Saccharomyces cerevisiae S288C: one gene and its partners. The gene in region 1 interacts genetically with each later gene. Each region holds a gene or a part of one and is shown in the gene's direction. Other genes may lie near its edges. The genes, in order: AAT2, ARO9 and HOS3.

Region 1 (3,429 bases):
AGAAAGACTAGAATGGTTAAGCAAATTAAACAATGTATCGTTATCATCCGATGCGTTCTTTCCCTTCCCAGACAACGTTTATAGAGCTGTGCAGTCTGGTGTAAAGTTCATCACGGCTCCTTCGGGGTCTGTCATGGACAAAGTTGTCTTCCAAGCGGCGGATTCATTTGATATCGTCTACGTGGAGAACCCAATTCGTTTATTCCACCACTAAGTAGGGTACATTTTATGAGAAGAACAGAAACAACATATATAGCTGAATACAAGTGTATATACGTAAACGTATACGATTTACTTAATTTTCTACGTCAAAGGCCTTCCTCTTCTGCGAGAGGACAAGATGTGAATATGTGAATTATAGAGATGTCTGCAGTATGGTTTTACCCAAATGATCATGGACCAACTAGGGTCATTTCATAGTGTTTAGGAATATACTGCGGTAGGACGAACAACAAAGATGACCGAACTCAGATTTTCCCACTCTGCACCCACATCCCGCAATCTCTTCGTAATAAGGAGAAAGCTGGCCATAGGACAAAGTATAGGAAAAGAGCTCAAGATCATGCGTCCTACTTAATCTAAGTTAAACTCGTCAACGGGGCCACTTCTGTCTCATCCATATATATCATGGCAACAGCCCCCGAACCCCATATACACATCGTTAAGGCAACAGCACCCGATGCAACGACTAAGAGAAACTGCTCGTAGTCTGACGACTCAAAACTCTGATCACGAAGATCAGAGGAGAAGTCAGGAGCTGCATCTCTTATGTGATGCCGTTGTCCGAAGCGCCATCTAGATGAATACGTGAGGCCCATTGGAGGCTCCTTGAGACTCTGCCTCTCGAGCGTTGAAAAACGCTAGCCCAGTGTTTTAGAGAAGCTAAGCAGCAATAGCAAGAAATGCACACACACGTATGCGAGTGACTTCCCTTCCCTGTATAGTACCGAACTAGCACGAGACTATGGTTACTTTTTTTTTTACAAATAAGCAAAGAGAAACTTGAATGGGAAAAGAAGTTTACCATAGAAGTTAAATGCACGACGATGAGAGTTTCAAAGTGTTTATATAGGCGAGAGAATCTAAAGGAAAATTTTTCTTGAAATAAAAAAGCACTGTCAGGGTAACAATGTTAATAATAGCCGCTGATGGTTTAGGGTTACTACGCTAGAAGGACATAAAATCATTATTTACAAGAAACATACAAGGAGGCAATTTTTTAAACTCTCAATGTAGGATATTTCATTTAACTGCACTAGTGGCATCTATTATACACAATTACTCCAGTAGCTGCCACAAAGCACCCAAAGATAAGAATAATTACGGAAAATGAAATTTTTACTTTGAATATGATGATATGGGCATTGCAGGTTTGTAGTAAGAGCAATTTACAGGAATTCCTGACGGAATATTAATGTTTTCTTACTGTTTAATGCGATGTACATATTGTCAATACTAATGGTCACCACTGGAAATGGCTATCTTTCGTCTTCGTGAATAACGATCGCCGAGAGTCGGACCGAGTGAGTCAGCGTGATCGGCCTCATTTACCTTGTCGCCTTGCACGTCGGTATATAAACGTATGTGGATACTTTAAGAAGGGAAAGCGCAACCGTCCAAATTCTAATGAACAAAAGAACACAGGAATACAAGAACACAAGAGCGATAATGTCTGCCACTCTGTTCAATAACATCGAATTGCTGCCCCCTGATGCCCTTTTTGGTATTAAGCAAAGGTACGGGCAAGATCAACGTGCTACCAAGGTCGACTTGGGTATCGGGGCCTACAGAGACGACAACGGTAAACCATGGGTCTTGCCAAGTGTTAAAGCCGCCGAAAAGCTAATTCATAACGACAGCTCCTACAACCATGAATACCTCGGTATTACCGGTCTGCCAAGTTTGACATCTAACGCCGCCAAGATCATCTTCGGTACGCAATCCGATGCCTTTCAGGAAGACAGAGTAATCTCAGTACAATCACTGTCTGGTACGGGTGCTCTTCATATATCTGCGAAGTTTTTTTCAAAATTCTTCCCAGATAAACTGGTCTATTTGTCTAAGCCTACTTGGGCCAACCACATGGCCATTTTTGAGAATCAAGGCTTGAAAACGGCGACTTACCCTTACTGGGCCAACGAAACTAAGTCTTTGGACCTAAACGGCTTTCTAAATGCTATTCAAAAAGCTCCAGAGGGCTCCATTTTCGTTCTGCACTCTTGCGCCCATAACCCAACTGGTCTGGACCCTACTAGTGAACAATGGGTTCAAATCGTTGATGCTATCGCCTCAAAGAACCACATCGCCTTATTTGACACCGCCTACCAAGGGTTTGCCACTGGAGATTTGGACAAGGATGCCTATGCTGTGCGTCTAGGTGTGGAGAAGCTTTCAACGGTCTCTCCCGTCTTTGTCTGTCAGTCCTTTGCCAAGAACGCCGGTATGTACGGTGAGCGTGTAGGTTGTTTCCATCTAGCACTTACAAAACAAGCTCAAAACAAAACTATAAAGCCTGCTGTTACATCTCAATTGGCCAAAATCATTCGTAGTGAAGTGTCCAACCCACCCGCCTACGGCGCTAAGATTGTCGCTAAACTGTTGGAAACGCCAGAATTAACGGAACAGTGGCACAAGGATATGGTTACCATGTCCTCCAGAATTACGAAAATGAGGCACGCATTAAGAGACCATTTAGTCAAGTTGGGCACTCCTGGCAACTGGGATCATATAGTAAATCAATGCGGGATGTTCTCCTTTACAGGATTGACTCCTCAAATGGTTAAACGACTTGAAGAAACCCACGCAGTTTACTTGGTTGCCTCAGGTAGAGCTTCTATTGCTGGATTGAATCAAGGAAACGTGGAATACGTGGCTAAAGCCATTGATGAAGTGGTGCGCTTCTATACTATTGAAGCTAAATTGTAATGATTAAATAATACTTATACTTACCTATTACACTCTTCATATTTTTTTTAATGTAAAGAAAGTAAAAAAAAAAAAAAATAAAAAAAAGAGAAATGCTCTTTCTTTACCTTCACAGGTGTATTATTATGTTGTTGTAATATCCGGGTAGGTTTATTGATCGAGGCGAGGCGAAAGGGCATATTCGAAACAATCATTATGATAATAATGTCAATATAGAAATTGAAAAAAAAAAAAAAATCCTACCGCCGCATCGACGCTCCTGTTAGACCTTTGAACGGAAATCACCCACTCTTTACTGTATATATTTTATTCCACCTCTGTTTCCAACGACCATTTCACCATACCACACAACTCCCATGAACATAAAGGATAGAACTTCAGAATTTCAACAAAGTGTGTTGAGTTACAAGAAAAGAAACAAAAACTTTAGAGAACAGCAGAGGGAACGTCTACAAGAGAAAGAAAGTGAAAACTTTGCCAACAACACAACCGGCAATGGGAAAA
Region 2 (3,767 bases), on another chromosome or scaffold:
AGAGTTGCTGTTGGAGTTGGCGGCGGTCGTGGCGGTCATCGAAGATCTTGCGGGCGAGTCGACAGCCTGGTGGTGGAGTTGTTTGTTTGCTTGTACGTTAAAATTTGCGTTTCCGTTTATATTGGTGAGGTTGTTAACTGCTAGAGTGGTACTTGCTATGGGCATGGACATGGGGAAGAGGAGAGCAGGAAAAGGGCCAGCGAATGCGCGAAATTTTTGTATGTGTCTTTTCTCTACTATGGCATCCACATGAAAACCAGTCACAGAGCACTCAATGAACGGTTTGCGTTTGTTGTTTGTAAGAAGCAAGCAGAAATCAAAGACCCATGTATACGATCGCTGATTTGTTTTGTTCTGTTTTTTCTTGTTCCGGCGAAAAAATCGTAAGAAACGAAAGGAGAACGAGCCCACAGGCGGGGTAACATCAAAAGGATTTATATTAGATCGTAAAGTCAATGCATATGTAACAGTACAGAGGTAGAAGGTATGTATGTGTAACGATTAAGAGATGCAATCATGATTGTTCTTCGTCAGACGAATCTTCGAATATGTCTTCGTCAATGACACAGTCGTTCTCCCAAAAGTCATGGGCGAGCTTGCTTAAAACGGCGGCAGCGTTTTGACGCTGCGCTCTACTTGAATCTTTCTCATTAATGTACTCGTTATACTCTTTAAAAGTTGATCCACTGAGAGATTGTGACTGCGATGTTCTACGTGGAGTATAGTAACTAGCAGGATTGAGCCTCCTGCACTCTTTGAGCCTCAATAGAGAAGCGATCTCCTCGGAGAGTTTTCTTCCCTTATGCTGGTGACCATCTTTAAGTTGTTTGTGTTGTCCTTGTGAAACTGCTGTTTCCATTTTGCCGCGTGGAGACATCTGTCCAATTTGCCCCTGGCTCTCTGTAAATACCCATATATGAACGTTATATATATTGTATATTAATGGCGTATATGTGCCCATGGGAAGTCATAGTAATAGATCTAGGCACGTGGCTGCAGTGACTCCGCGCAGGGCTGTACCGCCAAGGTAGATAAGAGAGCGGAGCACGTGGGAAAAGAGAGATACGGTATGTTACAACAGTCAAAGTAATGAACTTTCGCCCACGTGCGTACATCATTTACTATCTCAGGCCGCTGCGTTTGGAACTTTACGGCGTTGTAGTTGTAATTGCCATAACTGCCATGCATTTATGTATATATATTTTCGTACGTAATGAACATGGTTATGTTATATATTGTTTGCAATCAGAGAGAAGTTGAAGAGGAGAAAAAAAAAAAGAGAGAGCCGTACCGCAATAAAATGGACCCTTGTCGGTCACGTGAGCAAAAATACTATTGCCGCCGACGGCCGTAGATAATAACAAAGGAATAAAAAAAAAAAAGCGGTAACTCGCGGAAGCATTGCCGATGCTTACCGAGATTTGCCGCGGATAACCGAACCATCATTGGGGTAGGAAACATTATAAATATTTGATATATATAAAGGAAAAAGCTTGATTTGGTCTTGTAATATCCCAGTGTAAACATAAAAATACACACATACCACAATTACACTCTCTCATCGACTCAATGACTGCTGGTTCTGCCCCCCCTGTTGATTACACTTCCTTAAAGAAGAACTTCCAACCGTTTCTCTCCAGAAGAGTAGAAAATAGATCTCTGAAAAGCTTTTGGGATGCTTCTGATATCTCAGATGACGTCATTGAGCTAGCTGGTGGAATGCCAAACGAGAGATTTTTTCCTATCGAATCTATGGATTTGAAAATATCAAAAGTTCCTTTTAATGATAACCCAAAATGGCATAATTCGTTTACCACGGCGCATTTGGACTTGGGATCCCCCAGTGAGCTACCCATTGCACGTTCTTTCCAATATGCAGAAACCAAGGGTTTACCCCCTCTCTTACATTTTGTTAAAGATTTTGTGTCCAGAATTAATCGCCCAGCCTTTTCCGATGAGACGGAGTCTAACTGGGATGTCATCCTTTCTGGCGGGTCCAACGATTCAATGTTTAAGGTTTTTGAAACAATTTGCGACGAATCGACCACTGTGATGATTGAAGAGTTTACTTTCACCCCGGCTATGTCCAATGTGGAGGCTACAGGAGCAAAAGTCATCCCCATCAAGATGAACCTGACCTTCGACAGAGAGTCCCAGGGTATTGATGTCGAATATCTAACGCAGTTGCTCGATAATTGGTCAACTGGACCATACAAAGACTTAAACAAGCCAAGGGTCCTATATACCATTGCAACGGGCCAAAATCCTACCGGGATGTCTGTCCCCCAGTGGAAAAGAGAGAAAATTTACCAGTTGGCCCAAAGACACGATTTCCTCATTGTTGAAGATGATCCCTACGGTTATCTGTACTTTCCTTCCTATAATCCGCAAGAGCCATTAGAAAACCCTTACCATTCTAGCGACCTGACTACTGAACGGTATTTGAATGATTTTTTAATGAAATCATTCTTGACTTTGGATACAGATGCCCGTGTCATCCGTTTGGAGACTTTTTCTAAAATTTTTGCTCCTGGATTAAGGTTATCCTTCATCGTTGCTAATAAATTCCTTTTGCAAAAAATCTTGGATTTGGCCGACATTACTACAAGGGCCCCCAGTGGTACCTCACAAGCTATTGTTTATTCTACAATAAAGGCAATGGCTGAGTCCAACTTATCGTCCTCTCTTTCTATGAAAGAAGCAATGTTTGAGGGTTGGATAAGATGGATAATGCAGATTGCTTCTAAATACAATCATAGGAAAAATCTTACTTTGAAAGCCTTATACGAAACAGAATCTTACCAAGCTGGTCAGTTTACCGTTATGGAACCCTCCGCGGGTATGTTCATCATTATTAAAATCAATTGGGGGAATTTCGATAGACCTGACGATTTGCCGCAACAGATGGATATTTTAGATAAGTTCTTGCTGAAGAATGGTGTTAAAGTAGTGCTTGGTTATAAAATGGCTGTTTGCCCAAATTATTCAAAGCAGAATTCAGATTTTCTAAGACTCACCATCGCCTATGCAAGGGATGATGATCAGTTGATTGAAGCTTCCAAAAGAATCGGTAGTGGCATAAAAGAATTTTTTGACAACTATAAAAGTTGAACAGTGAAGATTAAACCTATGTGTTATTTGCATATCATATATAAATTGTAGTTTTTTGTATAAAAGTTGGGAAAAAGTTATAGTCGCGTATATTTTAAATTACTCTAAGCAACTAAATGGTCACGGTTTAGAGCATGAACTTCTGAATCCTTTTCCAAATTGCATTTAGCACCGTACTCGCTTTCAATATAGCTCAAACGTTCTTTCAGACCGTCCAAAATTTGGTCGCTATCAGGTAAGTCCACTGTAAAGCCCTTTATCAAGCTATATTCGTGTGTTATTTTACCCCCTATGTCCACCACATATTTTTTGACATCTTCAATAATGCTATTCTGGTCCGTAGCCATATTATCCGTCTTGGGGAAAGTTACGATGTATGATGATAAGGAAGATGCCTGTGCCATGGAGAATATGCTAATGAAAATCAAAACTAAGTAACTGGCCTTCATATATATGCTATAGTCTGTTACACAATAGATTTAAATGTTGTAATATAACGAGGAAACGCAACTTATCCATTTGTTCTCTCCATCGCATCGCTTTTTCTTAAATACTTTTGCCCCCCACCCCTTTATCCACTTGCGTTTTCCTCTTTTCTTCGCCTCTTTTTGGTAGCGCCGACCGATCTAATCGGAATAATCAAATTTAATAGGAAC
Region 3 (4,334 bases), on another chromosome or scaffold:
CAGCAAACATAGTTTTCAAATCATTTGGTGAAACCCATTTGAAGTCTCTAACTTCATTGACGTTTGGGTTGACAGTCAAGTTTTCTTTAGCGTTGATCTTATAAAATAGGATGTAATCAATTTCATGTTCACCCCATGGTTCATTGCTTGGTGCCATGTAATGGATTCTGTTTAAAAAGTGAAACTTACCCCTTGTCTTAGTTTCATCTTCTGGAATACCTAATTCATGATCTAGTTTTCTCACCGCCGCAGTAATAGCGCCCTTAATCTTATCGTCTAGCTTACCCTTCAAACCTAATTCGTCATCAATACATAGTGGATGAGAGCAGCATGTGTTAGTCCAAAGATCAGGGAAAGTTATTTTTTCAGTGGCTCTTTGTTGTAAAAGTAATTCACCTTGTTCATTGAAAATAAAGACGGAGAATGCACGATGTAGTAAACCCTTTTCAATATTTTCCATTAAATGACAAACTTTCTTGGTACCGGCACCAATAGCATTATCGTCCCAATCCAAAACAATACAATTTTCATTCATTAACTTAATTTGCTCCTCATCATGACCAGAAAAACATGTTTCTCCGCTTTCGTCATTTGACGTCTCACTAGATCGGGTATTAGGTCTTTGTTGTAATGGAATAATTTCAGGAAACTCTTCCAAAATGTCTTCAGGTGTTTGGTTTTGCACTAATTTGGCGTAACTAGATACTGCACCATGGGGCATACTATTGTTGTCGGCAGTCATTGAGGTGTAATGAATTTTTGGCTTATTTTTACTCTTCCTGTATTCCAAATACGAATACTCTAATATTGAATTAAGTGGGATATACGCCTTCTTGTCACTAGAAAACTGTTTCCTGTTAAATAGATAAAAATGAATAAATAAATATAAATGGAGTTAAGACCGAAAAAGAAAGGCAACCCCCATCGACAAGAAAAGAGTTATGAATAATCATGTTTCTTAATAACAATTAAAGGGAAAAGAATCGGCTGGGCATCGTCATTGCGAAACTGTTGACTGGAAAAATTTCAATCACAATTAAGTTTTGTCCATTTCGTTCCAGCAAGAACGGAAACTTTTACCGATAGCAGCGGAAAAAAAGAAAAAAGAAAAAAAAAAGAAATTAATATAGGCAAAATAGCCGCATGAAGCCCTTAATAACCTATACTATTCTGTGACTGTTATTTATTTACCCTCGTAATATTAAAAATGTCCTATACAATTTCTGTAATAAAACCTAATTTTTTTAGGACCCTTGAGTGTTACCCTGCTCATGTTTTTATTTTTGTTTTAGAGAAATGTAAACAACAGTTTGGGAAAGTTTCAAGAATTGTAAACAACTAATCAAGGGATAATACTATTTTACTCTTTCCTTTAAACATGAAGAACTATTTTTTGTTTACGTTTTTTTCTGAATTGAACAATAAGATCTTGTTAATTTTTTTATCGCTTGATCTATTATCAGATCTTCTCTTTTGAAAAACTAGTCCTTTTCCAAATTACAAACTTTCTTTTCGTGTGGAGTTGATCAGTTCAGTTTCTCCAATACTTCTTAAGTCACTGAAAATATAACGAAAAAAAGGGCTCTGGAAGTAAACAGAGAAATTCGACGATATAATATGTCTTCCAAGCATTCAGATCCATTGGAGAGATTTTATAAGCAATTTCAAGCATTTGTTCAAAATAACCCTAATGTCATATCGGCAGCTCGAGCTGCCGCACAAATACCGGAATCTGCAAAAGCTGTTGTAGTACTATCCCCATATTCTTTACAGCATGTGTTCCCGAGAGAATGGGTAACAAAATCGTATAGGAAAACTATAGTCGAACGACCAGAAAGATTATTAGCAAGCTCGATGGGTATATCAGCTGCGATTACAATGTATCCATCCCTTTTCACCTTGAAATCCTCGCATCAAAGGAAAGGTTCATTGATGGCACCTCATGTGCTTAAAGTTCATGGCAGTAGCTGGCCGGCTGAGTTAATTGAACTTTGCCAAATGGCAGATGCTAAATTGCTAAAAGGCGAAATCGAAGTCCCAGATACTTGGAACTCAGGTGATATATACTTGAGCTCAAAGACAATTAAAGCTCTACAGGGAACAATTGGGGCCATTGAAACTGGTGTTGACTCAATTTTCAAAGGACCATCTGCAGAACATATTAGTAACAGAGCTTTTGTTGCTATACGGCCTCCTGGTCATCATTGCCACTATGGTACACCATCCGGCTTTTGTCTGTTAAACAATGCACATGTAGCCATAGAATATGCGTATGATACTTACAACGTCACGCATGTTGTCGTGCTTGATTTCGATCTACACCACGGTGATGGGACCCAAGACATTTGCTGGAAACGTGCGGGTTTCAAACCTGAGGAGGAACCTGAAGATTCATCTTATGATGATTTTGGTAAGAAATTTGCCGAATTTCCCAAAGTCGGTTATTTTTCTATGCATGATATAAATTCATTTCCAACAGAGTCGGGATTTGCCACAAAGGAGAACATTAAAAATGCATCTACCTGTATCATGAACTCTCATGACCTAAACATCTGGAATATTCACTTATCCAAATGGACAACCGAAGAAGAATTCAATGTATTATACAGGACAAAATATAGAACTTTATTTGCTAAAGCAGATGAATTTTTCAGGAGCGCAAAACTAGAAATGAATCAACAAGGGAGACCATTCAAAGGTTTGGTTGTCATAAGCGCAGGTTTCGATGCATCAGAATTTGAGCAAACTTCAATGCAAAGGCATAGTGTCAACGTTCCTACAAGTTTTTATACAACGTTCACCAAAGATGCATTGAAATTAGCACAAATGCACTGTCATGGCAAAGTTTTGTCTCTAATGGAGGGTGGATATTCTGATAAAGCTATATGTTCTGGTGTTTTCGCACATTTGATCGGTTTACAAAACCAAGATTGGGTTAAAGAATGGGGGTCTGAACAAGTCGTTAAAGAGATTGTTCGTGGTTGCAAACCGGCTTGGAAACCCTATAAGACAAAAAGAGCAAAAGATGTCATAAGAATATGGGCAGAAGAAGTTATCAGGCTGGGACGAGCAATGATACCGGAATTCGATGATATCATTTTTAAAGACGCAGTTAACAGCGCACCTTCTAATTCTCTACTAAAGGCTACTGTCGAACCAGCATCCACGTCGACAATTGCTCAAAGAATAATCAGATCTCATAGAAGCAACGCTTCCCCAGAAAAAGAACTTCATGAAAACAAGCCGAGAAGCACGGAAAAACAGGAACAAAGGGAAATTAGAAGCGATACCAAGGTCAAGCAGCTCTCGTCAAATAATAGAGCAGCTGAAACCCAAATTCCGTTTTTGCAACAAGAATTTTCCAGTGAGGATGAAGATGAAGAATACGTTTACGATGAAGAATTGAACAAAACTTTCAATCGCACGGTGGAGGATATTACCATTGATGATATTTCTAGACATTTGGAGACCTTAGAAATTGAAAAAAAAGGTGATGAAGATTCAGACCATGAGCTAAAAGAAAAAAATTGGAAAAACTCGCACCAACGCCGTCTACAAGGTAATGGAATGTATAAAATTCCCTCCAATACGAAACCGCATCGCATAAGACAGCCTCAAAACGCAAATACACCAACTTATGACGATAGTGATATATCAATGATTTCTCATGTTTCAAGAAAACATACAACAAGAAGTGGTGGAAGATGGTGATACCAATGCATATATAATGTTGTCTTGAACCCACTAAAGAAGTGACGCATATATTACTTTTTTGTATTTAGTAACACAATTTTTCTATTTTTATATTTCCTTGTATAGTTAGTAATTTTAATTTTTTTCCTTCTTTATCTCAGCTCTTCGACCATTTGGTCAAGAAGTTAGTTTTTTTCTCTTATTTTATTTGACAATATACTAATTTTATTATATGGTATTGTAAATAACATTTGAGGAATAAAAAGACAGTCACTCTATAAGCTTTATCAGCCTGACATTTTTTTATTATTACAAATATATCGTTGAAAGAAAGAAGCCTCTATACATCTCGCCCTCTTTCTATCATTAAATCAATGGAGGTTTACTGGCAACGTTATATTTCTACAATTTTAGACCATCAAACCTGAGGAATATGTATATCTACTTTCTCCCTTTCCTCTTCTTTAACTGGTTCACCACCCTGAAATATACACGCAAAGTCAGTGATGAATGGTTGAAGCATACTAATTGGAATATTTAGAGTTGGGGAAAACACGATGCATAAATTTCTTAGATTCATCTTATTAAACTTACTATTCTCATTGATCCTTACCAGCAGTTCAAAAAGAGCATACATCAAC

What was found.
Region 2: of AAT2 (region 1) and ARO9, changing one suppresses a phenotype caused by changing the other (phenotypic suppression), as found in Saccharomyces cerevisiae (one study listed by BioGRID).
Region 3: mutations in AAT2 (region 1) and HOS3 impair growth when combined (synthetic growth defect), as found in Saccharomyces cerevisiae (one study listed by BioGRID).

Annotation. Positions count from the first base shown.
Region 1 is NC_001144.5:196,325-199,753, reverse strand, and holds AAT2 (aspartate transaminase AAT2), read left to right. Parts: upstream 1-1,668; coding exon 1,669-2,925; downstream 2,926-3,429. Other genes in the region: bifunctional phosphoribosylaminoimidazolecarboxamide formyltransferase/IMP cyclohydrolase ADE16, read left to right, coding at 1-214; SED5 (t-SNARE syntaxin), read left to right, coding at 3,282-3,429. UniProt on the Saccharomyces cerevisiae protein: Plays a key role in amino acid metabolism.
Region 2 is NC_001140.6:374,140-377,906, forward strand, and holds ARO9 (aromatic-amino-acid:2-oxoglutarate transaminase), read left to right. Parts: upstream 1-1,569; coding exon 1,570-3,111; downstream 3,112-3,767. Other genes in the region: serine/threonine protein kinase YCK1, read right to left, coding at 1-171; SPL2 (Spl2p), read right to left, coding at 515-961; YHR138C (uncharacterized protein), read right to left, coding at 3,216-3,560. UniProt on the Saccharomyces cerevisiae protein: General aromatic amino acid transaminase involved in several otherwise unrelated metabolic pathways. Mainly involved in tryptophan degradation.
Region 3 is NC_001148.4:327,989-332,322, forward strand, and holds HOS3 (histone deacetylase), read left to right. Parts: upstream 1-1,617; coding exon 1,618-3,711; downstream 3,712-4,334. Other genes in the region: isopentenyl-diphosphate delta-isomerase IDI1, read right to left, coding at 1-742; GTPase-activating protein BEM3, read right to left, coding at 4,112-4,334. UniProt on the Saccharomyces cerevisiae protein: Responsible for the deacetylation of lysine residues on the N-terminal part of the core histones (H2A, H2B, H3 and H4).